3 linked regions of the Drosophila melanogaster genome follow. The protein of the gene in region 3 interacts with the protein of the main gene of each other region in a pairwise test. Each region holds a gene or a part of one and is shown on either strand. Other genes may lie near its edges.

Region 1 (3,754 bases), on a different chromosome or scaffold from region 3:
CCTCCAGACATGTATCCCTAAAAAAAAAGATTCATAATTTCTTAAGTGGATTTGGAGTTTGAAGCACACTTTTTGGCGACTCGCTGTAAATACTGGCCTTATGTAGAGAAAAGAAAAAAATCTAAACTAAATATGACTATAACTATAAGATATAAAATTTTTCGAATTCTATATTATACCTCTTTTACATGCTGGCGGAACTTGTTTCCAAAATAAACCGGTTCCCTGAAATTGTGGGCGTGTAGAAAGGCGCGCAGGTTCTCCATGATAAAATAGCTGAAAGAGATAATAAAAATATAGTTTATTTATAAAAATTAAAAAGTATATTTCACTTACGTGTCATCGTCCGCTTTGAGGAACCAGTCGTACTTCTGGAAATGGTGCTTATAGACGTACTGCAGCGCCGCCCGGGTCTTGGGCCACAAATTGGAGTAGCCCTCCCTCACATTGAGCGCCACGGATCCCAGTTCCTTGTCCGCCTTGGTGCTCATGAAGATCAGCTTGTTGCAGCGCCTTCCCCAGGTGCGTTTGATGTGAATGGCGCGGGTGTGGTGCGTCTTTGGACTGGTCAGCACCATGCACAGGACACGCGTCTCGTTGAAGAGTCGCGCGGCCAGGATGTCCGGCGGTGGATTCGTGGTCGAAGGAGCAATGGTGGGTGGGGTGCGTAGGTTCCTGCTCCGCTGGCTGCTCGGAAAGGGACTGCTCTCCTCCTTCAGCCGATCCGCATGATTCTGCCAGCGAGTTCGTTTCATCAGCTCGGACAGAAGTATTCCCCATGCCAGACCGATCAGCAACATTAGCATCAGCTCCAAACGTTTTCGATTCGGTCGTACTCCCATCATTCTGATGCTCCTCTTGAGGCTTTACGGAGAAAATACACTTATCAGTATATGATAATATACACTTATATATGACAATATGATAAGCAATTTGATAAGCTATCGAAGTATCTATAAGATATTCACTTGATACAGGACAGTAAGGTTTTAGGTTTTAAGTTGCTAAATGAATCTAATAAACAACCTAATAAACAATCTATATATCAATAAAGGCTATATAAATATTTTCAAAAATATTTAACACTCTTTTCTCGGCGTTATTCATAGTATTCACTTTCATAGCTTAAAGATTGATGTATGGACTGTTGGATTCGCTTCGATTTTATCTCTGCTTATTTTCTCTTATTTTTACGATCCGCGTTTGTTTACTTTTTTATGCAAATTTTGCTGCTGCGACCGACCGACCAGTTGTCGTTGATATTGTTTTTGAATCACCGAATTAACACATTCTTGAGCCAGTGACGCAGAGTCGAAAGCCTGTAAAGATGCGGTCGACCTTCGGGAAAACACTCAGTTGGCTTTCTGCTCAGGTGTGTTGTGCTGTCGGCCGATTGGAGTTGGCTCAATTGGCCCGAGTTCAATTCGATCCGCAATTGCTGAGCTGCAAATGGCAAGTGACGCTTTTTCCAGCCGTTTCGAACACATTTGGGCCGTTTCGAATCGTTGGCTTCAATTATGCGACGGATACTTGGAGTTCCTCACTCTTTTACCTCGGCGCACTGGCACAGAATATCAATCACAAGCCCTCAGCGGAACGGCGATAAAAATAAACGCGGCTCGAACGCGACTCGATGCCCCCAAAAAAAGCAAAAAATAAACAAAGAGCCAAGGCAATACGGATAAAAAGCAACTCGAAAACAAACAGCTAACAACGTCTTCACGCTTTGCCGGCAGTTGACAGACTCGGCTTAAATCCAACTCGAAAATGTTGCTGGTGAAATACCTTAACGCTTCTCCCGTTGCCATGTTGCCAGATATTTAACGACCGTACAATACAATACACGTTTTTTCAATCCGAAAAATAAAATATATATACAGTATACCAAATATCAAAGTCAGTTAAAGAGAGTTTTTGGGAATACATACTCGCCAAGTAATGCAATAATGCTTAAATTAAAGAAAAATGTATGCAAACTATTATAGTTAGCTAATTATATTGATAATTATATAATTAAATAATGATTTTTTGTTACTGACTCCCAAATAGTCCACTCAACTTTAACCTTTCATTGTTTGGAGCTACCGATTGGCCAAAAGCCATTTCGATGGCTCCTTAAATGGCTATAACACTTGGCACTCGCAAAATTAATGACCTGAGTTATTCCGCAAGACAGGCTTCACTTTACCACCTGTGTTCAAAATTTTCAAAATGCCAGCGAAAAGCTTTTGCCAAGCTTCTTGTTAACCATCTCAACTAAAAAGGCCTGAAGTTAGGCAACACATTCAGCTATGGTGAACAATTTGTATTTATTTTTTAAAAAACTAGCAATAGATGAAGCACAATGAAGGAATATACAAGGAGTGCGTAGGCCACGAGCAGGACTCAGGCGTAGGGACCGCCGGAGGAGTCCAGCCCTCGCGGAGCATTGGCGTAGCTGTCCTCAGCGAATGTGTCGCTCACGCCGGATCCGGAAACGGAACCCGAAGATGAGCCGGAACCGGACAGGACATTTTCTGAGGCACCTGCTGCCGCTCCCGACGATCGAATGACATCCACCGACTTGGAGCGCTCATCGCGAGCCACAAATGGAGTGGGCTGCGCCACCTGGGCAACAGGGACAACCACCGCCTTAAGGGCATAGGGCACCCGGTTGACCACAGCATTGAAGCCATGCACATCATCCGCCGTGTAGGTCACGGTGCGCTTGTAGCCATCGGGATCGATCAGGCTGTAGAATCCGCGCACCACATAACCATCCCGGGTCTCGCTGTGCTCCTTGATGTCACCGGTGCTCGCGTCGTTCACGGCATAGTTGAAGCTGTAGCTGGCGGGCGGAAAGACCTCGGGCTCCTGGTGCTGGCGCAGAACGGAGCTGACCACCAACGGTTCCGACTGCTGATGCTGAACTGTCTGCTGCTCCTGCTGCTGCTGCGTCGATGAAACCACCTCCGAGTTCTGCTCGTGGCGGAGAACGGGCAGCGGCGAGGGCAGCAGCACGGATTCGGCATTGGCGGCACTGGCCGCATTCTGGAGAAGATTGGAGGCCTGAACACTGGCCGTACGGCTGCCGGCGGTGAACTGATTCCTGGCGGGCGCCACGTAGTCATAGCCATCGGGCGTGGCCTCCGAGTTCAGAGCATTGTTGCTGGGCGTGTGGTAGTCGCTCAGGAAATCCTCGCCAGAACTGGACGCACTGTTGGCCGCCTTCGCCTCCTTCTCGTTGTAGTTGTACTCCGCTTGGCTAGTGGCCAAAAGTGCCAGAGACAGCAGGGCGAAAAACTGCAAGTACATATTGAATGTATTTATCATGAATATATCCATTTGGTCCTTGCATCCTGATCACAACTCACCTTAGCTGCCATCTCAAATCGTTTGGATCTTCCTTTCGTGGGAGTGCCTCTACAAATTGTCAGCTAACTAATGTCATAATTGAAGCAGCCCGGAGTTTTTATACTTCATCCCAATACTTCATGCAGTTCATTACCCAATGTTGGTAGTTATACAATGTCATGCGCCTCAATTGATTGATTTACCATTGTCCAAAGTCGCGACACAATATTGGTAACACTTTCGTTTTCAATTTGTGACCACTTTTATGCTGCGTAAGCGCAGGCCATATGAAAAGATGATATGGAGTAGGTGTGTGATCGTGGAAACATCAGAATGGGGACAAAAGTTGGCAATAAAAGTGGAGAAGAATTCAAGCATTTTTAAAATTTGAACCACAGCTCATTAGTGCCAAAAATACTGC
Region 2 (3,754 bases), on a different chromosome or scaffold from region 3:
CTTCTTCAGCTGGATCTGGTTGATGTGGCGTGTAAATGCGGCGCGCACAAGGTCATGTCGTTTAAGGTACTGCTCACGAAGCACCTCGATTGCCTGGTTAAGCAGTTCGAAGCTCTCCTGGGCGGATGGCGAGGAAAGTTTATCCGCCAAGATGGGCTGGTTAACACTACGTTGCAAAAGCGATTTAATCGTATCGACAAACGGTGGCCCACTTTCCTGCTGAGACACTTCCGAGTCAACTGGCTTATTCTCATTAGGTGTAACCAACAGCTGGGCATCAATTACCAGCTTAAGGCTAATCACCTGACCGCTGCCCAGCAGTAGAACTATACCGGCAGGAATTTGTAATAGGGCAAGTCCAAAGACTGCGTTCACCGTCTCACTGGAATCGAATTTTGTGCACAGAATGTACTCTGCACTTGCAGAGACCGCCAGCTCTAGACGATCTTCATCGGACTCGCTTTCCAAGTAACGTTGCAGCTCTGCGATAAAGCTGACCGTAACGGCATGAAGTCCTGCGTTGTGGTAGGCAAAGTAGCGAAGCTCATTGATCAAATCCCGCTTTAAGTATATGGGACAGTTGCCTCCTTCTTTTCCAGTTGCGGGTGCAGATATTCCCAGCTCAAGTTCGACAGTTTCTAGTACATGTACAACGTATTCGGCGGGTTCAATCAACACAGAGTCGTCAACCTCATTGAAAGAATGCTCAGTGGCCTCCGCCTCCATAAGCAGAGCATGGTGAAGCTTTCCATTGGATTCAGCTATAACAATGGTCGGCGGAAGTGATGGGATAATCATTAGGGCACAGGACTCCAGTCCATAATTGTCATGTGCCTGTGGCGTTATGGTAACGGGGCCCTGCAGGCGCGTATTCTCCGAATCCACGCCGGTCATCAAAATGTAGATGTTTCCATTCTCGCGGAGCACAACCATGGGCCACTCTATCCTCTCCTGTTTCGGCAGCGATTTGGCCGCCACAAGGGTTTTGTTGCTCTTATCCAAAGTGGTTTCGTTATTGCCGGCTGTTTCTGGTTCAGTGACACGTGGTTTTGCAGCAGGAGCGATGTCAAAGTCAACGGCTAGCTCGCCAAAGTCGCATAGCGAGTTATTGGCCCCACTTCGAAGCACCGGGGGACCCACCTGCCACACGTGGCGCAACTTGGAGTGATTGTACACTCGAATCGTGTTGTTGTTGAGCAGCACGAGCAGCGTGGAGTCTGACACGGAGTGCGGATGCCAGCGGACCTGGCGCACTTCCAAGTGCGGGTTTTTTAGGAAAAGCTGAGTGTCCAGGCCGAACGTGCGGCAGGTGATCACTGGCTTGCCATCCTTGTAGTATCCATCGGGGCCCCAGCGGCGGGGCAGCTCCATTATGACAACGCCGCGCGGTCCACTTAGTGCCACGAGGGAGCCCTCGTTGGAGGCCAGCACGCGGTCCACCTCCAGGCTCACCAAGCTCGATGGAATCAGTGTCTGGAACTGGATATTCACCTTTGCCGCCAGCGATGAGCGCCAGTTGCGAACCAACAGACAGCTGTCCTTCGCGTGCCAGGCAAAGAGCAGATCGTCCTTGCAGTCCAGCAGGTTCTGAGTCCTTTGCACCACGGGCAACCCATTGCGAATCTTCGCGAACAACTCCGTTTTGTTCAATTCCAAGACATCGGTGAGCGACATCGTTTGTTTATGCTTCAATTCGTTGCCCGGCTTGTAAGTCAATGCTAGTGTGATAGTAGTCTTCGGAAATCCGCAAAGTATTTTTTTTTAGTATTTTTTTAATTCGAATTCATGAAACAAGAAATTTGTTAAAAAAACGCTAACACCAACATTTTCGGAAAATGTACTAATAATTATTGCTGCTTAAACTTTTCAACGAAAGACGTTAGCATAAATCATGCTATAAATTTAAAAAATGGAATAATTGATTAATAGTTAATAAAAGATTATAAAAGGTAGATGTTATTATTTTTTAATATTGGTATAATTCACAGAACCCATTAATTCAACAACTTTTAATAATCTATTTAAAATCACTAAGTGCTATAAACATTTAAGTTCTCTTTTGGAGCTCCAACAGTGGCACAGATTTCAACTTCATCGTAATATCTTCAACAAAGTATAGATTTTCGAAGGGAAAACTCGTTTTAAACCTATAATTCCGCAATAACTTGGCTAATGTAACTTTCGCCGATATTAAGGCATATCTCCAACCTAAACAGAAGGAAATAATAAGAATATAGCTAAAACAATGGTCATAAATTAGCGATCACTCTGTTACCTATGCAATTTCGAATGCCCTTGGTAAAAGGTATATAGGCGTACGGATGCTTGTCCTGGATGTTGTGGGGGAGGAAATGATCTGGGTTGAAGGTCTCCGCATCCGGACCCCAGATCTTTTTGCTTCTGTGCATGTGATAAATGTCGATGGCGATCTGGACCCCTTTGGGAACCACTATACCATTGGACAGCTTCAGATCCTGAGACGTTTGTCGGGATACGACAGGAACAGGGGGTATTACTCTCATGGATTCGTTGAGGATCAGGTCAAGGTACACCATCTGCTGGGTGTCCGCGTAGGATACATCAAAGTCTCCTGTGTTTGGGAATATCGTCTTTATTTCCTCAAAGGCCCTCTCCTGGTATTCCGGAAACATCGCCAGCAACATCAGGGTGTAGTACACTGCATTAGCCGTGGTCTCAAAAGCTCCAAAAACGATGATATTCGACTCATCCTCAACATTCTTCAGGGTAAACACTCCTCGTCTCATCAAATCCGTGACCAGATTTAGAAATAGGTTTTTATCATTGGACTGGATGGAAGGTAGTGCTCCCATTTCGTCCTCGGCCAACTTTCTCTCAATTATCTAAAGGGGTTAAGAGATTCGTAAGTGAATAAGCGGAGGGAGTAGTTGGAGGTGCTCACCTTCCGAATAAACTGACGAATCTCAGTTTTGGCCTGGTAGTAGTGCGATTCCTTTCCAGCCAGCTGCCGGCAAAATCGGCTATTGAGCCACGGAGAGAAGCACATATCTGTCATGGTTTCCAGGATGCTATTAATGGATAGATGCATTCCGATTCCAAGTCAAAACTCACCATTGGTATCGCCCCAGCAAGGAATTGCTCCTGAAGCTCTCTTCATCCTTTACATCGCTGCCCATGGTGGTTTCTGCTTTCATATAAGTATATCATATATTTAATATCAGATCGACTCTTCTAACTGAATTATGCATTCTGGCTTTCGACCACTTTGTATGCAAACAACAAACGTGATAGCCATAATTTATGAGTCTTTTTTTAAACAAACAACACATTCTTCTTTACTCACGGGTGGCAATTCCCAGGGTGAAGCTCTGCAGCAGTGGAATGAGATCCTTCTCGCCGTCATCCTGCAGTGGTTCGAGTTGATCGAGCAGAAGGGCCGTCTCCCGGTTGAAAATGGGCAGGAAGCTGAGTAGCACCTTGTGGCCGAAGGCGGGATTCAGCAGCTTCCGATGGATGCTCCAGCGGGGATCTACACAAATCCACACTTAAGTAACTCCCACACTCGATTCCATAGACACACACCCTTCAGGCTGAATAATCCAACTCCGGCGCCATCGTCCACTGCCTTGTAAATAATGCCCTTGTTGACGCAGTGGGGAGATGTGAAGATATCCTGCACCACTTGGGGATCACTCACAATCATAAAGGGAATGGGCCCCAGCCAGGAGAAAATTGTCGGACCGTGCTTGTCGAGAAAGCAGCCGAATGCGTTGAG
Region 3 (3,754 bases):
AACACAACGACATTGTTGAGATGATTTCAGAGAACAATATTACACTTTACATACAAATGATCATTGTAATAATCGCACTAATTTTGTTGTACTCATATTTAAGATATGTATCATTTAAACCATTTATGATGCTGTATGCAAAACTTAAAATAAGAAAAAATCAAAATCAAAACACACCACAACAAACAGAAATAGAAGAAACTCCATTTCCCACACTATATCCATCAATCCCAGCCCAAGTATAGGCTTCTCTTTAAGGGAAGGGGAGTGACGTATTTGGGTGGTCCAAACCAGCCACTTCCATTATTTCAAAGAAATCAGTAATGCACTCTAGTAATTTTCCATAACGTATCCCAGCTGCGCAGCATTCGTTTATCTTTGGCAGCGCAGCCGTTCTTGTAAACATCCTAAAGCCTGACCTAAGCAGATTTGACTGCCCTCTTTCAACGCTACCTAATCTTAAGAACCCAAGAGCGAGGCTCTCCCGAAATACAAATATTGTTCAAATACTGAGGCTTCTCCTCAATCCAATTTGCATTTGATTTTTAGTCTTAAGCTGAGATCCAAAGAATAAAGTCGTGAAACTATTTCTCCTAAAAACTATTTTTTATTTCTTGGCGTTGTCCTTAGTCAACTGACGGGACATTAGTTCGACTCATAAATAAAACAACAATTTTACTATATATATACTACATAATAGTCATACCCATGGGGAAACCTCTTACTTCTCGGCTATCGCAAGGAAAGTATATGCCTGAACTGCGCTATATAGAGAAAAGCGAAAAGCTCTCGAGAATTGGCACACGACCGATAAGCCCGCCGAAGCAATCAATGGACAATTGACCTTCGTAATTGAAGGGGGGCAGGTTGTGGACCACTCACCTAAGCTCATGGCGGTCTTGAAGTATTCCGGCGGAACATAGCGTCCGCCCATGCGCAAATAGGTATCGCAATCGGACACATAGCTGGGGCATTCGGCCTGCGGACAGGGGCACGTGGATGAGGACGGTGGACCGCAGCCGGTGCTGGCTAGTGGCATGTATACCGAGTTCCCGTTCCCATGGCACTCGATGCCCAGTATTACGGATTCCGCAGAGCTGTTCTTCACCAGTAGCTGCAGCTTGAGCACGGCTATCCAGAATTTCTTGAGCTCGCCGAAGGTGAGTTTGTAGCCCAGTTTGTAGCGCATATCACGTACATCCTCCTCGGTGAGGGAGAGCAGCACCTCGCCGTCGATGGCCTCCTGGCGCAGGCAGTCGAGCAGTGTTCTCGAAAAGTGCTCCATGCAGGTGGCCCAACTGGTCACATTCTCGATGGACCACTGGGCCACGAGTAGCGGATCCACGGGCTCTGGATCTGGCGATCCATTGGTCAGGTGCTTATCTGTCGCCGCGTCGAGGTAGTGCGTCCGGGTCTCCTGATCCATTGTGACCAATCCACCGCCCTCGGAACGTGGCTGAGTCACCGGATCGCCAATTTCACCGTCGCACATCGCGCTTTCTTTTTTTTCCGTTCGATGTTCTTCTGGCTGTTTCTTATTCGTTCCAATTTTGCGATTTATCCAAAATCCAAAACAATTGTGCGGCCGAACTCAGATGGAGTGCAACATTTTTTCACTGCTGGCTGCTGTTGCTGCTGCGGCGCATAATTAACACCTCACTTATTGCGCGTCCAGCGTTTGTTGATGTAAAAGCACATTTAATTTTTGGTTTGGTTACTTGTTAAATTCAGACTACTCAGTTGTTCCGTTCAGAGAGCAAGCGAGAGAGCAGAGCGGAGTCAGCAACTATGCTGGGGGCGGGAGCGAGATAACAAGGCCGAACAGCTGACTTCGGCCATCGATAGTTTTTGGACAACGCCAACGCTATCGATGAACAGTTACTTCGGTCTTAACTGCGTGTTCACACCGAAAAATTTTCGAGAATTTCGCTCTCGTAAAAGTCAAAAGGTTTAAAACTCTTATCGTTAGCTTAATATTATTTTAAATAAAACAATTTGAGGTGTCTGGCGAGTAGAAATTATTTAAATATTAACGCTTGACTGATATAAATCTCGTTCGATATATACGAAACCATGGTGAAAATGTGGAAGAGTGGAAACGGCCTCCAAAGCGAAGATATCGAAGCCACAGCTTCGCTTCGTTAGCATTTTGCGAGCGGCAAAGTGATTTAATTGTCCTCGTGCGAATGTCTAGACAGAAGTAATCCTCGAATAATATGAAGAAAGCCAAGCCGCTGCTGCACGACCATCTAATAACGATCCGAGTAAAGAAGGTGTGTCCAAATCCGTTGTTTATATCCACAAACTAGCCAGCTGCCCGATAGCCGGTAAATTCCCATGAAAGCAGCACAAAAAAAAAAAAAAAAACACACAAAAACCCTTTGCAGGGCGGCGATTTTGGGCAAGGGAAAACAAGGTTAGGTCGCAGGCTACCCGCATCGTGTGCTAATTGCGTTCTACTTTCGATTTCAGTATCTGGAGGAGCACATCGGGGAAACCTACCTGGATGTGAAACAGATGACCAGGGAGTTGATGCAAAAGTATCCGGAATATTCACGACGCAAATTCGGACCATTCAGACAGCTGGTGCACCAAGGTAAACATGGAACATTGTGGTTATTTGTTTTTAACAAATATTTCTATTACAGCATTCTCGATCATTTCGGAAAGCTATAACTTGGACAAGGTAAGCAGTTCCGAGGAAGATTGTGTTAGCGAGGACTCCGAGCCACCACCCACGAATAGTGTGATGAACAATATGATGAACAGCCTGTATAGTCAACCAAGAAAGCCGCTGGCGCCCAAGCCAATCAGCGAGCCCATCGATATATCCAGTGGAGACGAGAACGAAGATGACTCCAATACAAAAACCACCAACGGAGATGGGGTAGCTGCTGCTGCTGCTCCTCCTCCTCCTACTCCAGCAGTGCAGGGCAGTGCTTTGAAACGCCTGATGGAGGAAGTGCCGGAGATCGCAGTGGCTGCAAAGAAAGGTGGGTTATCAATCCATTAGTCTATGACTTGGTTAAATGACATTCTTCATTAGTAGCTAAACCGAATACTATTCACGTTAGCAGTTCGGAGGCCATTCAAAAGCGTGAGTTTTTTTTTAAATACTTTTGTAAAATCAATGAAACCTAAACTTTTTGTTTTAGTGCACCAAGTTGTGGGCAACAGAGCGAAAAATCTTTCAGAGGACGCCGTTCCGCGTTCCAAAGATCACCGTAATGTGCCTGGCTTATATCAGCAGTTGCACCAAAACCAAAGTCGCGATCGCCTTCGGAAGTTCAAAAGGGATCTGGAGGTGCAGCACCCAACGGAAAGTTTCCGGGACATTGGTGGCATGGATAGCACTCTTAAGGAGTTGTGTGAAATGCTGATCCATATTAAGTCGCCGGAGTTCTACTTTCAATTGGGTCTATTGCCTTCGAGAGGTTTATTGCTTCATGGGCCGCCAGGCTGTGGCAAAACCTTTCTTGCTCGTGCCATTAGCGGGGTGAGTTTTATAAATGAACATTGAATCGTTAATTCATATATTAATCATCTCTGCTTTACGACACAGCAACTAAAAATGCCTCTAATGGAAATTCCGGCCACAGAGCTAATTGGTGGCATCTCTGGTGAGTCGGAAGAACGGATTCGCGAGGTCTTTGACCAGGCCATTGGCTACTCGCCTTGTGTGCTTTTCATCGATGAAATCGACGCCATCGGAGGAAATCGTCAGTGGGCGTCCAAGGATATGGAACGTCGCATT

What was found.
Region 1: the proteins of smid (region 3) and CG2975 interact in a two-hybrid assay, tested with the Drosophila melanogaster proteins (one large-scale study listed by BioGRID).
Region 2: the proteins of smid (region 3) and mbo interact in a two-hybrid assay, tested with the Drosophila melanogaster proteins (one large-scale study listed by BioGRID).

What each region holds. Positions count from the first base shown.
Region 1 is NT_033779.5:2,838,085-2,841,838, reverse strand, and holds the start of CG2975 (uncharacterized protein), read right to left. Parts: upstream 1,716-3,754; 5' UTR 1,212-1,715; intron 865-1,211; 5' UTR 843-864; coding exon 337-842; intron 277-336; coding exon 180-276; intron 18-179; coding exon 1-17. Other genes in the region: Cpr23B (cuticular protein 23B), read right to left, coding at 2,386-3,282, 3,354-3,365.
Region 2 is NT_033777.3:12,677,328-12,681,081, forward strand, and holds the start of mbo (members only), read right to left. Parts: upstream 1,726-3,754; 5' UTR 1,675-1,725; coding exon 1-1,674. Other genes in the region: Cyp313a4 (cytochrome P450 313a4), read right to left, coding at 2,048-2,208, 2,276-2,861, 2,921-3,047, 3,091-3,163, 3,323-3,508, 3,562-3,754.
Region 3 is NT_037436.4:7,379,739-7,383,492, forward strand, and holds the start of smid (smallminded), read left to right. Parts: upstream 1-2,110; 5' UTR 2,111-2,216; coding exon 2,217-2,273; exon of another isoform or gene 2,274-2,416; intron 2,417-2,472; coding exon 2,473-2,596; intron 2,597-2,648; coding exon 2,649-2,993; intron 2,994-3,046; coding exon 3,047-3,097; intron 3,098-3,155; coding exon 3,156-3,496; intron 3,497-3,562; coding exon 3,563-3,754. Other genes in the region: SMSr (sphingomyelin synthase related), read right to left, coding at 883-1,492.